2 linked regions of the Caenorhabditis elegans genome follow. The protein of the gene in region 1 purifies or fractionates together with the protein of each later gene. This does not show direct contact. Each region holds a gene or a part of one and is shown in the gene's direction. Other genes may lie near its edges. The genes, in order: ptp-1 and F59A1.15.

Region 1 (8,177 bases):
TATCAACAGTTTTTTTTATCAACAGTTTTTTTTATCCGGTATATTTATACTGTTTTCTATCATCTTTAAGTTAAAAAAAAACTTGTTCCTTTTAAGATACTTTTCTTGCTTCCCTTTTTGTTCTCGAGTATTAACGGTTTTTCTAGCATACCACACACTTTTTTCGTAGAATTCCATTTTTAACGACTTGTATCATCATTGGCTCTTCACCCTCTTCTAAATCTCCTCAACATGTGTACTTTATCATTTCGACAACACTACCAAAAACTCAACCGATACATCATTGAGTTGATCCCTTCGGGGATTCTTTTCGGGTTTTGGGTTTTTGCTGGAGCGGGCTCCTCCAGCTCATTTCATATGCACAATTTGACCGCCGCTCTCTTTTTGTTGGTAAAGTGCGAAAGCGGATATGTTTTTGGCGAGAAACAGCTTAGTGTGAAAGCGAAGAAGGAGATGAAGCCATTTCTTTTGACCTCCTCCCACTTGCGTTTCCTTGAATCTCTGCGTCGTTTGGAAGAGAGTGAAGATTTTGGAAGAAAAAGAAGAAGCACTACGTTCCCTTTTTAGTTTTCTTGCAAAAAATTCAATTTGAAATTTCGAATGTTGCGATCACGCTCTACTGGTGTTTTTTTCGGCCAGCACTCATTTTTAGGTGCCCAAGAACTATCTAGATCATCTGAAATTTCAATTAGTGACGATAGGCGCTCAGGTAACCTTGTAGGTGAAGAAGGTAAAGTTTGCGGCAAATTCAGCAAATTTGCCGAAACGGGCAACTCAATTTCATGCTATTTTACTATAATTTTTTGAACAAAATTAACATTTTTGGTCAAATTTTTTAAAACCCAATTTGTGGTGTGTGCGGCAAATTTTCAAAATTGCCGAGCTTGGCAAACGGAAGTTTCGGCAAATTTGCCGCATATCCCTTTTTTAGATGCTTCAACTTACCTGTAATTTTGGAAGATTCGCTCAATTCTTTATACATATTTTTTTCGCTTTTTAAATTATTTTTCGAGATTTTTTTTTCCATTTTTTCTCAAAAATCTGAAATTTTCCAACCTATCATTTCTTCTTAGTCCCATCATCTTCTCGCCGCTCTTCTTTCCATCTACATTTTGTCTAATTTGCACTCAATTTCGTGTCATTCAATTATATCATAAGCGACTTGAGTCGACCGCTTCTCCTTTTTCTTCTTCTTTTGCAGTTTCTCCTCCCTCACCAACGTCCTTAATTTCTAATCCGCTTTTTGGTTTGTATGTGTGCTTCTCTATACTTCATCTTTCTTGCAGCAGCTCCATTTTCAATTTATCTGGGAATTATAGGCTAGATAGCTTTGTTGAAAATTTTCAGAGAAAATTTTTAAAAACTCGTATTCTAAATCTGAACGACATACTATAAACTTGAAATTTTCAAGGTAAATACCCCTAGTTCGTAGGAATATCGTATCAATTTTTGTCGTATCAATTTGACAAAAGCCTAGATATTTATTTTTCACATGAACCCATCTAAACAAAACATACAACAATTCTAGGAATGACATACATAGTACATATTATTACTACTTTTATTTGGTCTCACAGGAAATGTACTTTTTGCATCAACTATAAAGATATATAAATACCGCACTCATTTTTACATACTTTATTTCATAAATCTTTATTTAAAGCCACATAATTTAAATTTAGGGAGATGTTCCTTAATTTTGAAGAAACATACTCCTGTTTTGAAAAATGCATAGGTCTAGTTTAAAGGTAACACTATTTGAAAGGCACGTAGTTCAAATTCAAGAGTGCATACCTGAATTAGACATAATTTAAAGTTTAAGCTACAAATCCTTTTTTTGAAACACATACCCGAAAGGTACATTTAAAGGCACATAGTTTTAAAGCAAGTTAAAATTCAAAGATTAAAGGTGTATATTCCAGAAATTTTCTTTCTACAAATACCATAACCGTACTCTTATTATACTCATCTTCAACTTTTTCTCCGTTTCCCGTGCCACGTCATCAATCAAAACTTCTCGGTGTGTATGTCACATATCCTAAGAGGGCCTAATAATTGCCTCCGATTCCATCCAATTTTTGGCGGCAGCGGAGTCCAGGTCCACTTTCATTCTATTTTCGCCCTCTCCTAAAGCACACAATTCGTTTTCTAACGTTTTTTTTTTCCTTTTTTCCTTCTTCTATTGGGTCCACTCCACTTCATAATGTGTTGTTGCTGGGGTGGAAGGAAGGAAGAAGAAGCTGTCCCAGTTTTCTCATTTATTCTATTTTTCCTTCATTCCATCTGGCTCCTTATCTCTTTGGGGTTCTCAAAATTAAAATTTGGCTTTGTTTCGTTCCTTCCCAAAGAATTTTCGCGCGTTATTTATTGAATTTCCTTGGGGGCTCCGCGAGCACTTTCGCCTCATTAGATGGAAAAAGTAATGTGTGGCAGGGTGATGTAGTCATGGATTTAGCACTTGGAGATTTGAATTTGGTGCGGTATTTTTAGAAAACTTTTTTCAAAAAGTTTTTTTGAAGTTTTTAATAGAAAAATATCAAGCTTTGCAACGTTTTTTCACCAATTTAGAGCATTTTTTCTTTCCTGGAGAAAATTGTTTCTCATTGAAATAAACAAATTTTGATAAAGCTTAGAATTTGCTCTTTGATTTTGGAAAAAAATTATTTTTTTTCGATTTTTTGGAATGTGTTCTTCTGTTTCAATAGTTCGAGTTTCGGCTAATTTTTAAATTTAAAAAAAAACACTCGAAATTAACTTTCAATTTTAAAAATTCCATATTAAAAAAAAACAATTTTTAGTAGAAATTCGTAATTTCAATTAGCTTTTTTTTTCCTAATTTCGCTGCAGCGCATTTTCTCAGTAGTATTTTTTGAATATTTTGTGCTGGAGTTTAAAGGATTTCATTTTCTAATAATTAGCCATTTGAAAAACATATTATTGACGAAATTGATAAATAAAAAAAAATATTTAAAAAAACTAAAACGCGAAGACATCTGCGGGCTTTTTTATTGGTTCTAAAATTTAATTTCTCCCAAAATTTTTTACAGACAGGGAACTATTTAAAAATAGATCTAATCCGACCAAAAATTAAAAAAAATCAATAAAACACCCCGCCCATATAATGGCTCTTAACTGCATTAGCCTCTCCCTAAACTCTCAGAATTTGAGTCCATCCGTCCACTACTACTAGTCCTTCCTATTCTTCTTATGTTGCACTTATGTTCCAAAATCTTCAATTTCTTGCTACATTTATCCCTTTCTTTGACCACTCTCTCTCATCTGTTTTTCATTTCCCTATTCCTATTTTTTGAGGCTTTTCCTCCTCCCGGCTAAACAAAAAAAACTATAAATTGAGCAGCAAATTGGTTTTGTCTCTCGCTCACTCAGCTGACCTCGTCGAACATCTCTTCGAAAGTTTTTGTTTTTGTTTTCCTCCGCTTCCTATCTCTCTCTTTGCCTGTCTCTTCACTCATTTTTAACTATTTCAGACGGCTTCTGTTCCTTTTTGCACAATAATGACATAAGCAGCTATGCGTCTCGGATCGAATAGTTACGATGTACAGAGGACGGAGGCAATTGGTCAAACGCCTGTCAAGACACCGCCTCCAAATCAGATCCGATGTACAGTTACCTTCCTTGATAGCACTTCTTATCATTTTGAAATTGAGGTGAGAGGTTTTTTTAATGTAATTATTATTTTTGAAAGCTTGGCTTTATGAGAAAATTTGACGTACTTGTACGGAAAATTTGTATTTTTTTCAGCTATAAAAGAAATCTAGGAGATGATTCAAAAAGCCTTTGACTGACAAATTATATTGTTTATGATTTGGAGAATTTTTCGTAAATTTTCCAAAAATTTGTAGAACATTTTTATTTGGAAAAATTAAAATTTGAATTTCGCGCCAATATTTTTGAAAAATCAAAATGGGGCTTCTTCATTGCGCTCACTTCTGTTGAGGCTGAGCAAGCTGTATATTATAAATTTGAAAGTTTTAAAACTTTTTTTAGAAACTCAAAGTTTTCCGCATATTGTTAATTGATAATTTTTCATGGAATTTTTTTGAAAAGAAAATATCAATTTTGCAAAAAAAATAGTTGTTAATCGTATAAATTTCCACATTTTCAACTAAAATATCTTTTAATTGACTTCATTTTTGTATTTTTGTATTGAATCAAAATATATTCCAATTTGAAATATTCAAGATGGTATTTACTTGGCATCAACAACTTTCAATTAGCCGGTTGTTTTCGATTTCAGTTAAGAAAAAAGTGCAGAAGAAGTGCATTAAATTCTTATATGATTCACCAGGTCTACTGTGCCTACCTACATTCACGTAGGCAGGTAGGTAGGCAGGCCGCAGGAAACAAGTTACTCAATTTTCAGAAAAACTCCCTGGGAATCGTACTTTTAGAAAAAGTATTCAACTATTTGGAGATTATCGAAAAAGATTATTTTGGCCTCGTCTTCATTGCAGTCGATAATTCTAGTGCTCAGCAGAAGGTTTTTTCAACTTTCCAAGGCTTTTCCTACAATAATAATTTCAGAAATGGCTGGATCCGTCGAAAAACTTGCGAAAACAAATGATTTGCCCACCGTATCATTTGTTCTTCCGTGTCAAATTCTACGTACGGGACCCGAATCGTCTACGAGACGAGTTTACGAGGTTCCAATTCTATCAACAAGTTAGGCAGAATTTGGAAGAAGGAAGGCTGCCGTGTAATGAAGGATCACTTGCGTTGTTGGCTAGTTATGTGGTACAAGGTTAGTGAGAAGGTGTGCCTGCCTGCCTACGCCTACCTACGATCCCTTTGTAGGCATGTGCGTAGGCATTATTGTGCCTTCTATAGACTATAGTTGCGCATATGATCTGATGTTTTTGGTTTGTAATTGCAAATTTTGTATACACCATATTTGACGAGCAAATTTCAAATGTTTAATGCATCACAATTGACGCGCAAGTTTCATATGATGCATTTGGTCCGTAATTTCAGTATTCGAATGCACCATGTTTGATGAGAAAATGTTCAAATTTCAAAGATTCTGCTCTGCTCAGTGTCATGGTTCTAATGCATCAGATGTGACGCGCAATTTTTTTTTGTTCACAGTACCATATTCCACGCAAAATCGAAATTTGATAATAAAACTGATTTTTACAGCGGAAGTCGGAGACTTTGAGGAGAAAACTCATGGAATGTCCCGGACGTGTCTGTGCTACAAAATTCAATTTGCTACTCTTCCAGATGATTTTTCGGATCGCGTCGCAGAACTTCATCAGCTTCATATGTAGGTTTTTTAGGATTTTATGGAAGGCAGGCAAATCTGTATACCTACATCAAATGCCTTTTATCCTGATTTTTTTTCAGCGGTCAAACCCCTGACGTAGCAGAGCAGAACTTTCTTGACCACGCGCGGCGTCTCGAAATGTACGGAATGGATGTTTATGACGGAGTGGACGCAAATCATCTTCCGATCGAAATTGGAGTAGGAGCAGTTGGAATTAAAGTATTTCACGAGGGAATCAAGATGAATGAGTACGCGTGGGTACGAATAAGAAAACTTAGCTTCAAGAAAAAACAATTTCAAGTTTTGGTGGCTAATGAGGATGGAGTGGTGAGTTTTTGGCTATGGAATCTGTGAAAAAATTCGCCTAAAAAACTAAAAGTATATAGCACAATTTATTCCAATTTTGAAAATTAGGCAATAGGCAGGCACGTAGGCATAATTTTAAGTTTGTGCAAAAAAGTATGACGTATTGGTGCGTTATTTGCCTTGTTTTCAATTAGAACCTTGATGCCTCATATTACACACAAAAAAAAACAATTAGATTCGGAGAGACTTTATGAAAAAAAATTTCTTTTTTTTAAATTATGGCTGAACTTTGACGTACAAATTTCTAATATTCGGTTACAAAATCCTAATTTCAGAGCGAAACAATCATGATCTTCAACATCATGTCCGCGAAAATCTGCAAACTTCTCTGGAAATGCTGCATCGAGCAGCACACGTTCTTCCGGCTGAAAACTCCTCCAAAAACGCCGCAAAGGAAGGTTTTCAACTTTGGATCGAAATTCCGATATAGTGGACGAACCGAATATCAGACACTTGAGGAGAATGAGCATCGGAAGTCAGCTGGACATCGGAATTTTCATAGGTGAGAATTTATCTTTGAAAATTGATTTAGAAATTAAAATTTTGAAAAAGCCACCCCATAGCTGGTCGTGGAACAGTTTTCATGGCAAGGTCACTCCCCCCCCCCCCTTTACAGTAACCCTGACACTGCTCAAAATTCAAAGTTTTGTCTATTTTGATCTAATTATAGTTTGCTGTATATCCAGTTGTCCCTTTTTGTTTTCGTTTTTGAGAAAACAAATTATGATCCCTATAAAAAATTGGGCCCATGACCACGTTATTCACATATTTTTCTAGAAATGAGCCTTGAAAATTCCGATATTCTCAATGCAGGCGATAGGTTAATTTATTTTTAAAAAGTATAAAAAATTCAGCGCAACATGTCAACATTTTCCAAATAATAAGTTGCAAAAGTTGGCTCAAAATGAAACTTTATAGAAAAATGTTCAAAAATCCTTCAAAAACAAAAAAAACCTACCTGCCTGTCTGCCTCCTTTTAGTGCCTACCTCATGCCTATATGTAAAGTGTTAAAATTTTCATTTCCCAGTAAAATTTCGGAATATTAACGATGTGACACTAGATTTTATGTAAAAATGCAGGAATCTGCAGTAGGTTTTTTCTAAAAATTTCGTTCAAAAAATTTCAAAAAACTATTTTTCAAATAATTTCAGTGTTCTTTTAAAACAGATTCAAAAATTCATGTGTAAGATTTATTTCAGTGGCAAGAATACTCTTACCGAATTTAATTTTTTTTTGAAAATTCTGAAACGAAATTCGAGGGGCCAAAAAGTTTCAATTAACCCCCAAACTTTTAGAATGTAATCAAAAAACTTTTTCAGATCCCTCTCAAAATCTTCTTTCCTCCGATCAACGTTTTCCGGCAACACACAATCAATTGATTCATCCCGTTATACCAACACAACAACTACAGACTCTCCAGAACTTCCGTCCAGGTAACAATTTTAATATGTCATGGTTATGGCAATTATTCGTTTAATAACGACACAAATTGCCAAAACCAAGCCTTTTCTCGCACTTCTCTCCGCACACGCTTTTCCTATTCTCACAGTGGTCAATTGTTGGCACGTCGTCTGTTGAGTGCCGCCCGTCACGACACGGATTCCTCCGATGCACTTGGATATGCTTCCGATGGTGCAGTTGTCTGTGCACCACTCACTACACCACTTTCACCACGACGCACTCGAGACTATGCCACAGATAGGTAATTAGTTTGTATCCAATTCCTGCTATTTGTACAGAGCATCTTAAGAGAGCAGTTCTTTAATATAGTACAAGAATACAACCACTTTTTCAAGAATATCAAATTCTAAAGCCAACCAATCATCGACATTTGTCCCGCCCTTTGCAAATCGCTGATTGGTCGGTGTCGATAACTTCTCAAATAACGTTTGTTGGGTAATCCATAGACAGGGGTCGTTTGTGTCACGACATGTTCAACTTAACGAACTACTACTACTGTTTCAAGAACTCATTTTCAAATTCGCGCGCGCACGTGAGAGGGCCCACCAATCAGCGACACAGGCCACGCCCTTTGCACTTCGCTGATTGGCCGACGATTTCTATGAGATTAGTGCCCAAAGCGGCATGTAAATTACTTTGCCCATCAAAAAATCTTACTTCTTTTGTTCAGCAATTTTCCACATAACTGACCAATTTGGTGGTCATTTCAAAAATCGTTCTAAAATCTACTAATAGGTTCTTTTCCATTTGATTTACAAGTCTTTTTCTCCTTATCACTTCCGTCTCCACTTTCTCACTTTTGTCTGTGTCGTTCTTCTGATAAGTTCATACACATACACTGAACAATTTCTTGCGCAATCAGTCTATAATCGAATGCGCCGTCGGAGAACAGCTAGAACGAGGTGAGGCGCCTAATCAAAAGCTTGTTTGGTTCCTTAACATGTGTAGAATTTATTTACCTCGTGTTACCCTTGCTGCTCAACTTTTACACCAAAGATGGGTGGCTTTATTACAGTTGAAACATTTGGAAAAATGCTTCCAAATTACCTGAAAGTTGTCGAATTA
Region 2 (9,014 bases), on another chromosome or scaffold:
GAGCCTGGACCATACGTGAAAGTCGGGCAGAAACCGAATGAAGCCTAGTTTTTTGTTATCTATCTATATTAATTTTTTTTAAAAATAAATTACAAATTTGTACTAAAGATCTAGTGATTTTAGAAAGAAAAATTCAAAAAAAAAACTTCAAAAAAAACTTTTTCAGCAATGTTTAAAAAAATTTTTTAAACTCTACTCTTTCACAAATAACATCTATATCAAATATTTTCAGTTGACAACAAGTTTTCGTCACAAAAAAAACCATCAGAAATTACCATTTCAATGCCTCTTTTGTCCTCCGCGAAGGCAAAAGTTCACAAAAAAGCACAGAAATTCTAGCTTTTCTCCATTTTCCAGTGAAAGCTTTCAATATGAAGCCGATTTTTTTTCTTATTCTGTTTTCAGCTCCCCTTATCTTTGCTGAAAATTCCACGGAGCCTACCGTACTCACTACCGGTTACAGTAGTATGTGCCAGTCTTGCATCGACTTTTTGGAGCATTTACCCGGATTTTTGGACAAATATTCACCAGATCTTGGAATTGATGCGGTAAGGTGGAGAAATACGGTAAAACGAAAAAATTTTAGTATTGCCGGGGGTCGAACCCTGGTCTTGTCGGCCACAGCCAAGCCTCTACCCAACTGAGCCACTTGACCATCTTTAAAATTTCGGAAAACTTGCGTCTGGCGCTAATTTTAGCGTGGAATTTGAATTTACTTATTTTTCTCCAAAAATTCACTGAAATTGCGAAAAACTACATAAAATCTCGATATTAATTTTCAAAAATACAATTTTTGTCGATTTACTGGGAATTAACATTAACTAACAGTTTTCGATGCAAAAATAACAAAAAAAAAATAGCCACCGATGGGGTCGAACCCCTGACCTTCTGAACCATAGTCAAACCTCTTCCCAACTGAGCCACGAAGACACTTTTTGAAAACCTTCAAAATAACGACCATAGGATAAAATTTAATGCTCTTTCTGATTTTCAAGTCAATTTTGCTTCTAAAACCACCTAAAAGTCACAAAAATCAATTTCAGGACACCCTCTGAACGTCGCTAACAGCTCACATGCCATCCATCGGAGACCCATGCTTCAAACTTTTCGCAGAATATTGGCCGACCAACAAAAACGCGACAACTGTTCAAATTTGCTCGTTTATCCATTTTTGTTGAGAAAATTATGTTTTTTTAATAAAAGGGTGCAGGGAATAAATGTCTTTGTTAAAATTCTTTAATTGCAATACATATCACAGACGGCGTTTCCGAAATCGATAAGTTGAGGACGGAATGTGTCAAAAACGTTGCCAATGTTGAAATTGTTCACCAGAGCCATACATTTTGGCTTGAGAGTTTTGTGAAGTTGGAAGCACGCAAGGTTCTGGAAATTTTTTTAAAATTTCCTCTGAAAAGGATGTCAATCTTAAGGTTTTCAGTGTTAAACTACTTTTTCTAAACAAAAAAAAAACAAAAAATTTGCCGCCGGCGGGGATCGAACCCCAGTCTTGTGCGCCTTGGCTAAACCTCTACCCAACTGAGCCATTGCATCATTTTTTCGAAATTTGAAAAAAACAGCTTTTATGGTCAAAAAAAATGAGTTAGGGCCATTTTTCATTGAATCTAACTCCGAATTTCGATTTTAGACCTCTGTTCAGACTATTTCGATGCCTTTTTTCGGAAAATTCACAACAAAAAATCCGGATTTCGGTAAAAACGCGATTTTCAAAAAACATTTAATCTTCTTCATAGTGATCCAACTTAACAAAAATATTTGCTCTTAGTGGGGATTGAACCCTTGACCTTCTGCGCCGAATCCAAACCTCTACCCGGTTGAGCCACCCGATAAAAAATTTGTGCTAAAAACGCCTCCAAGATCAAAATCTCGCGCCAAATTCGAACTTTTCATTAGTTTTTGTTTCCAACTCACCATATATCCCGTCATTTCTGCCCAACTCTTCGGCACTTTCTCCTCCCAATTCTTATTACACATCTCGCAGAATTGTCCCTGAGCCTCTTGAATATCAGCGAAAGCACTAGCGGCAAGAACGAAAATTGCAGAGAAAATAAGCAGAAGCTTCATGTTTTGGGCCTCCCGGTGTGGTTAATGAGTGATAAGTGATTAGCAAAAACTGCAGAGGATCTCTACAGTACCGAAATTTGAAATTTAAATTGATTGTTTTACATATGATTTGCATTATTTCCATTTTGTCACCAAACACCACGTCTTTTGGAACGTCTAATATGGAAATTTTTCGTGGGAAAAAACTCGAATTTTAGGAATTTTTGAAGATTTTCCCAAGAAAATTGGTATAAAAATGAGTAGGATTCTCTTCAAATTTCAAAAAAAACTTCCAGATTCCCTCCAATATGAAGCTTCTCCTTCTCACTTTGCTCCTGGCACTCTGTATTTCTCCGATATTCGCTAATAAATGCGATTTTTGCACGAAAAGTGTGAAGGCGATCAAGGATGGCAAGGGATTGGCCTATATGGCTAATTTGTCAGCGAAACAAATCGACGATTATGTGAAGAAGCATGTAGAGGTGAGTAACTGAAAAATAAAAATAAATTGGGTGCAGTGGGGGTCGAACCCCTGACCTTCTGCGCCGCAACTAAACCTCTACCCTACTGAGCCACCGAGACCAATTTTAAAATTTGCGGGAAAACGACTTCCAAATCCAAAAATTGCGTAGATTTCAAATTTGTATACATAATCGCATTAAGTCTGACCTAAAAAACTCAAAAATGAAATTTTTCAAAAAAAAAGAACAAAATTCTGATAATTTTTGAAAATTTAAATTTTCTTTTATACTCTGAAGATCAAAATGATTTTAGTCGCAGAAACAAAAAAAAACAAAAATTTTCGCCGCTGTGGGGGTTGAACCCCTGACCTTCTGCGTCATAACCAAACCCGTACCCAGCTGAGCCACTTGGTCACTTAAAAAGTTTGCAGAAAAAGCTTCCAGGCCCAATTTTAGTGTAGATTTCCAATTTTGAATTACCATCGCTCAAAAATCGCTGACATTTGAGTTTTTTCAGAAAAATTGCTCCGGATCCACATGTCCAAAGCTCATCAAATCCCTTGTAGAGATCGCAGATCAACTCGATGATGACTTGGATTCTACCCCACAGGAATTGTGCAAATTCGTATATTTTTGTTGATTTCCATAAATTTTTGAATGGAAATAAATGTTAAAACAATAGATTTTCTCGAATTTACAAACAAATTATCTTGAGAATTTTAGTTTTAAAAAAATGGGAAAATTTCAAACAATTATTCAGTTAGAATTTTTTTCGAAAGCGATCTACTTATTAAATTTGTACAATTTTGTGTTGTATCCAAAAAAGTTTTAGTCAATTTTTATTATTTTCCAAGTTCACGCTATCCACATATTTTGCCACAATGCTTCCCTCCCCTATATTTTCAATTTCCAATCATTTCTGTATTTCAAAAATGTTTTCGGAACTGAGTTCGTCACAAACTTCAAATTCTAAAACAAAAAATGATGAGAGAGTCGAGACGGAGCTAAAGCCAAGCTCATCCGATGCATCAATCAATGATGGGAGAATGTTCGGCAGTTTGGAGGAGCTTATGACGTATATTGGTGAGTTTTGGTGGGAGTTACGCCAAAATTAACTATTGCAAAATATTGTGCGGATAATTTTGAACATTTTTTTTATTTGAAAGATTTTTGGTATCTGAATCCTACGCAGAGATACGACAGGTTAAAGTTTAGCGGCGAGAGAGTGTGGGGGAGGGGAGAGCGCAAGCGCGTGAGCTACCTGCGCCTCTCTTCCCGCCACACTCTCTAGCAGGCCTTCCACGAAAGCGGTGCTCTCGCCACGCGGACCTGCACAGCGTCGGCCGCAGTACACAGAGTGTTTATGCGTGAATTTTCAAGATCTAAACAGAATATTCAACCAAAAGTTTTAGGAATTATGAAATATTTTTTTGAAAAACTTAAAAGAAAGTTGTAGATCATAAAATTTTGAGTATTTCCGTAGTTGAAAGTTTTCGAATATCTTCATTCTCCGCGGAGCTGCACGCGTTTTAAGCTTGTACGGCGAGAGAGTGTTGGAGGAGGGGAGAGCGCAGGCGCGCGAGCTTACTGCGTCTTTCTCCCCACCACACTCTCTAGTCAAGTTTTTTGACGCGCATGTCTTTTAAACGAATAGAGATACTGAAAAACTTTCAATTGACAAAATTATCAGCGTACAATTTTCTACCCAAATGTCAATTATTCCAGGATCCAACTACCCGCACTACCGAAAAACCGTGTTTCCAATCTTCATCGTCTACTTCTTCATCTATTTCTCCTCCAGATTCCTAACAGAGACCCAAAAGCTTAAATCTCTGGAAACTATGAAACACAACGGAACAAATGAGTATTTCTACTCAAAATGTCTCCCAAACAATATGGATGATTCACTGAAAGTTGCTGAAAAAGTGAATTTCATTCCAGTTCGAGTACCAAAAGGAGAGCTGACTATTGTGATGGATACTTTCTTCATGTTTGCCACGACTACTTTGAGCCCCAGAAAGCTGGTAATGTGTTGTCTGGGATTTGTGAGCACCGCGTATTTTGTGATGGCACATTTCGACTCTCAAATTCAGATGAGCATTTATGTTTCGCAGATTTTTTCGGAGGTGAGCGCATTGAAAATATGTTAATGAGCATTTCATCAGTTGGAAGTTTTTTGATATCTCTAACGGTTGAGGAGATATGAAGGTTTGAAGTCAGCGCAGCGAGAGAGTAGGGGAGGGGGAGAGACGCAGTCGGCGCGCCGGCCTGCGTCTCCCCTCACCCTACACTCTCACGCCGCCCAAGCTTTAAACGCGTGTATCTCAGCGGAGAATAAAGATATTCGAAAACTTTCAACTACGGAAATATTCAAAATTTTATGATCTACAACTTTCACTTAAGTTTACTTAAATTTTTTTCAGATATACCGCATCGTTGCCTTAATCACAATTGCTGAGTCGGTTCCAAAGTATCACAGAATGCCGGCGTTGATCCTCCTGGAAATTGGTAGCTTTGAGCTTACAAAGTCTACGAAAAATTCAAATTTTCAGTCCGCACAGCTTCACACACACTTTCCACTGTAGCCGTTCGTCTACCATCAGAATTCTCCATGGATTTGTCGTACAGCTTTGAGATTTTTGGATTTCTCACGATCATCATGGGATTTGTCACTTATTAGTGGGTTTTTATTGACGAAACTGTGAATCTCAAGCCAAAAATTTACTGAAAATTTAAATTTTGGATCAAAAATGGAACAAAAATCTAAAATCAAAGCCGGGAATTGACTGGAAAATTTGAATTTCCCGGTGAAAATTAACAAAAAAATTGAATTTCCTGGGAAAAATTGGCTGAAAATATAAATTTCCCGCTGAAAATTGACTAAAAATCCAATATTTCAGCACATTCCACGACTCTCTGTACAGTTTGTTGGCTCGAAGTAAGACGGATCAAATGCAGGATCGGGTGACTGAGATCTTCAAAAAATCCGACATCTACCAGGCGCCAGATGCCGTAATCGATCAGATCGCATTCGAAAATTTCGAGAATAATGATAACGCTATCGAGATCTTCGTGAAAACGCTGAAATCGTTCAAGCTAATTCAAGAAGTGCTCGTTTGTGGTGTGATCTCCGGCGCCAGCCTTGCTGTCGACGCTTTCTTCGAAGCCGAAACCATCAAGCACGCCGAGCTCATGTTCTTCGAGAAAACTCTGATACCCATGACGTCATACACTCTATCAGCCATTTTGCTCCTGATTCTGAGCTTTTTGATGCCAACTCGACGGATTCTCCCAGTGATTTTGACTATTCCAGTGATTTTTCTCACGACATCGGTTATTTATGTGATTCCGGCGATTTTCAAGACATATGACAAGTGCTCTCAACATTATACCATTGAGCGTGAGTAGAACACAAAATTTTAAGCATTTTATCAGTTGGAAGTTTTTCGATACCTCTTACCGGTCAGGAGATATACGCGTTTAAAGGTTTGGCGGCGAGAGAGTGTGTGTGCCGGGGAGAGTGCAACGCACCGCCTGCGTCTCTCCCCGCTTACTATCTCTCACCCGCTAACTTCAAACGCTTGTATCTCCTAAACGGTGAGAGTTATCGAAAAACTTTCAACTGAGGAAATGATCAACATAAAATTTTGCGTCAGATAAGTTATATTTCCAGATTCTGTCTTTCCGTTCTACTTGGCAATCGGGATATTTACCAGTGCTCTCACAGATATTGTTCGCTTTTTTGTGAAAGTTCATTTGGTAACCATTTTCTCTTTTTTTTATAATTCAACTAACTTTCAATTTCCCTCAGCTTGAAGTAATGCCTGTGTTGATCCGTGCACCAATCATTGCGGTGCTCTATTTTGTGCAATACTCATTTGATGGAAATGTTCGCGGACTCTACTCGATGGATAGTATCGGCGGGGAGATGATTCTGGTGTTGATCTCGATTTTGGCAATGCTGATTTTGTTGATAACTCCGAGAAAGAAGAATGACATGAATGTGTTTTTTTCAGAATATAATGTAAGTAACTGTAGAAAAGTTTAGAGAAAACATTTTCATGAATTCTTGTTCAGAACAACGATAGACAAAGGGCATGCCCACCAGCACCGGAATTTGTGAACTAGATACTGGAACAATTGTCTATAAATAAATTTTTCTAATAGAAAATGTCTCGCTGAACATTTTGAAAGTTTTTCGGTATCTCTTACGGCTACAATGATACGCAAATTCGAAGTCTAAGAGGGGAAGTTGACAGTTAAGAAGGTACGTGAAAAAACTACAAAACGAAGTTAGTATCAAATATTAAATACACTTTGAATTATCACAATGAACGTAGAATTTTCCGCTGACAATTTCTTCAATTGGAAGTTTTCAGATATCTCAAACCACTAAGGAGATACTGCTATTTAAAGTTTTGCTAGCGAGACAGCGAAGGGGGGGAAGAGACGCAGAGAAGGCACCAGAGTGTACTCTCCCCTTCCCCCATACTCTCTCGCCTCTAAACTTTGAAACGGCATAACTCTGCGGGGAATTGAGATATCAGAAATGTGAAAATGGAGAAATGCATAGAAATAAAATTTATATTGGAAAAACTCGATTTCCCGGCGTTGTAACTGATAGTTCAGGTACTGTAACCTTTACAAAAACCTTCCTAATTGCATTTCGGTAGTCTCTTATAAAATACATAGGTACTAGGGAATCCATGACTGGCTGAGTGGCCATAAGCGACAAAATTATGGATTCCACTGGACCTGGCTCAAATTTCAAAACTGGAAAGCCTAGAAGGCACCCGGCAGGGAAGAAAAGCAGAAAAATTGGGAAAATAGTCTGAAAAACTAGGACGCGGAATAGTTGATGCTGCATTTCCATGGTTCTTCTCGACTGGAAATTCGCGAAACTATGCGATTTTTGAAGGAAGACCCGCTGAAGTTTCAGCCAGCAAAATCCAATTATGAAAAAACCAATGGTGTGAAAAAATAATGTTTTGAACCGAAAATTTCTCGTTAGACCTACAATAATTCCATCTAAGTTTGCTAGAAATAGAAAATCTGGGAGACTTGCCTGCTCCACGCCAGTTTTTGGATCTTTTCTCTGAATTTGGCACTTATTAGTTTAAGTTTGAAATACTCATAAACTCACATAGAAGATCGATACGGCATAGGTATAATCAGAAACTGACAGGTTGAAAGTTTGCAGCATGTTTTCTCTGCAAACGTGAGCTCAATGGTTTTAAAAATGCTTCAAGTTTTGACATGTTTAATAGAAAATTTCCTGCTGATCATTTCATCAGTTGAAAGTTTTTTGGTATCGCTTACGGTTGAAGAGTTAGACGTATTCGAAGTCGAGAATCAGAAATAGTGTGGGAGGGGGAGAGGCGCAGAGAGGCGCGCCTCTCTGTGTCTCTCCCCCACCCACACTGCCTCGTCGCATAACCTTCAAATCATCATTTATGTGCGGGGAATCGAGATATCAAAAAAATTTCCAACTATTGGAAGATTCAGAATTTTAAGCCTAAAAGTTTGTTGATTAATTTGACGTTAATTGTCTGAAAATTAATAGAAAATTTGATAGAATTGTTTGTTGGAAATCAAAAAATACATTACCCATTCGACATAAAATTTTGCGCTGATCATTTCTTCAGTTTAAAGTTTTTCGGTATCTCTCACGGATCGAGAGTTAAACGCATTTGAAGTAGAGAAGCAGAAATAGTGTGTGGATGGGGGAGAGACGCAGACGACGCGCCACTCTGCGTCTCTCCCCCTCCCACACTGTTTCGTTGCATAACCTTTCATTATGCATAATCATCATGTCTCCGCGGAAAAACGAGATATCAAAAAATTTCCAAATATTGAAATGTACACAATTTTATGATCGACATTTTTCAACTTAAAAAAACCTGATATACTCCTCCACTTCGCCATTTTCGCCGGCAAAATAGACAGCTGAAAACCACCAATCCAACGTCACAAAGAGGAAAACACCAATGAATATTGAAAAATAAGGAAACGAGAAATAATATAGTCGCTGAGGTTTTATAACGGCCAAATATCGATAGATGAAGTGAAAAGCCAGGAGATACAAAGTTATTCCATACGTGGAACAGTTTAGAGCTAAAAGTGTTGTCAGTTTTTATCGCAAAAAATATTCTGGACTAACCTAAATACCATAAATTCAACTTTCTAGGTAATCCAAGAGGATTTTCACTGAAAATTATATATGAAGCTTTGTAAAAATGCAATTTCGGTTGACACGTAACATTTATAAAACCGAATGAAATTCCAAAGAGACTGAAAATTAGCATAAGATATTTGTAGTTTCCAAGGTACGACGGACTTTTCTTGACGATTTAAAATATTAGCAGAGCATTTGAATAAAGTGATAAGGCTGATATGATATAAATTTGGACTTCCGAGAAGTTTTGGTACATTTTGAAAAGAATAATGGCTGAGTAGAGATTGAAAAGGGGAAAAGGCAGAAAAAAAAACAAA

What was found.
Region 2: the proteins of ptp-1 (region 1) and F59A1.15 fractionate together in Caenorhabditis elegans (co-fractionation; one large-scale study listed by BioGRID). This does not show direct contact.

The regions. Positions count from the first base shown.
Region 1 is NC_003281.10:3,587,240-3,595,416, forward strand, and holds the start of ptp-1 (Tyrosine-protein phosphatase 1), read left to right. Parts: upstream 1-3,484; 5' UTR 3,485-3,530; coding exon 3,531-3,668; intron 3,669-4,384; coding exon 4,385-4,501; intron 4,502-4,545; coding exon 4,546-4,762; intron 4,763-5,157; coding exon 5,158-5,284; intron 5,285-5,364; coding exon 5,365-5,611; intron 5,612-5,925; coding exon 5,926-6,152; intron 6,153-6,970; coding exon 6,971-7,084; intron 7,085-7,200; coding exon 7,201-7,353; intron 7,354-7,982; exon of another isoform or gene 7,983-7,985; coding exon of another isoform or gene 7,986-8,014; intron 8,015-8,177.
Region 2 is NC_003283.11:17,678,297-17,687,310, reverse strand, and holds F59A1.15 (Adenylate and Guanylate cyclase catalytic domain containing protein), read left to right. Parts: upstream 1-3,447; 5' UTR 3,448-3,454; coding exon 3,455-3,605; intron 3,606-4,247; coding exon 4,248-4,648; intron 4,649-4,945; coding exon 4,946-5,030; intron 5,031-5,074; coding exon 5,075-5,201; intron 5,202-5,422; coding exon 5,423-5,922; intron 5,923-6,195; coding exon 6,196-6,281; intron 6,282-6,333; coding exon 6,334-6,546; intron 6,547-6,599; coding exon 6,600-6,650; 3' UTR 6,651-6,694; downstream 6,695-9,014. Other genes in the region: F59A1.13 (Major facilitator superfamily (MFS) profile domain-containing protein), read left to right, coding at 1-48; F59A1.18 (Saposin B-type domain-containing protein), read left to right, coding at 372-548, 1,044-1,055; F59A1.6 (Saposin B-type domain-containing protein), read right to left, coding at 1,237-1,383, 1,930-2,082; F59A1.16 (Saposin B-type domain-containing protein), read left to right, coding at 2,370-2,543, 3,040-3,162.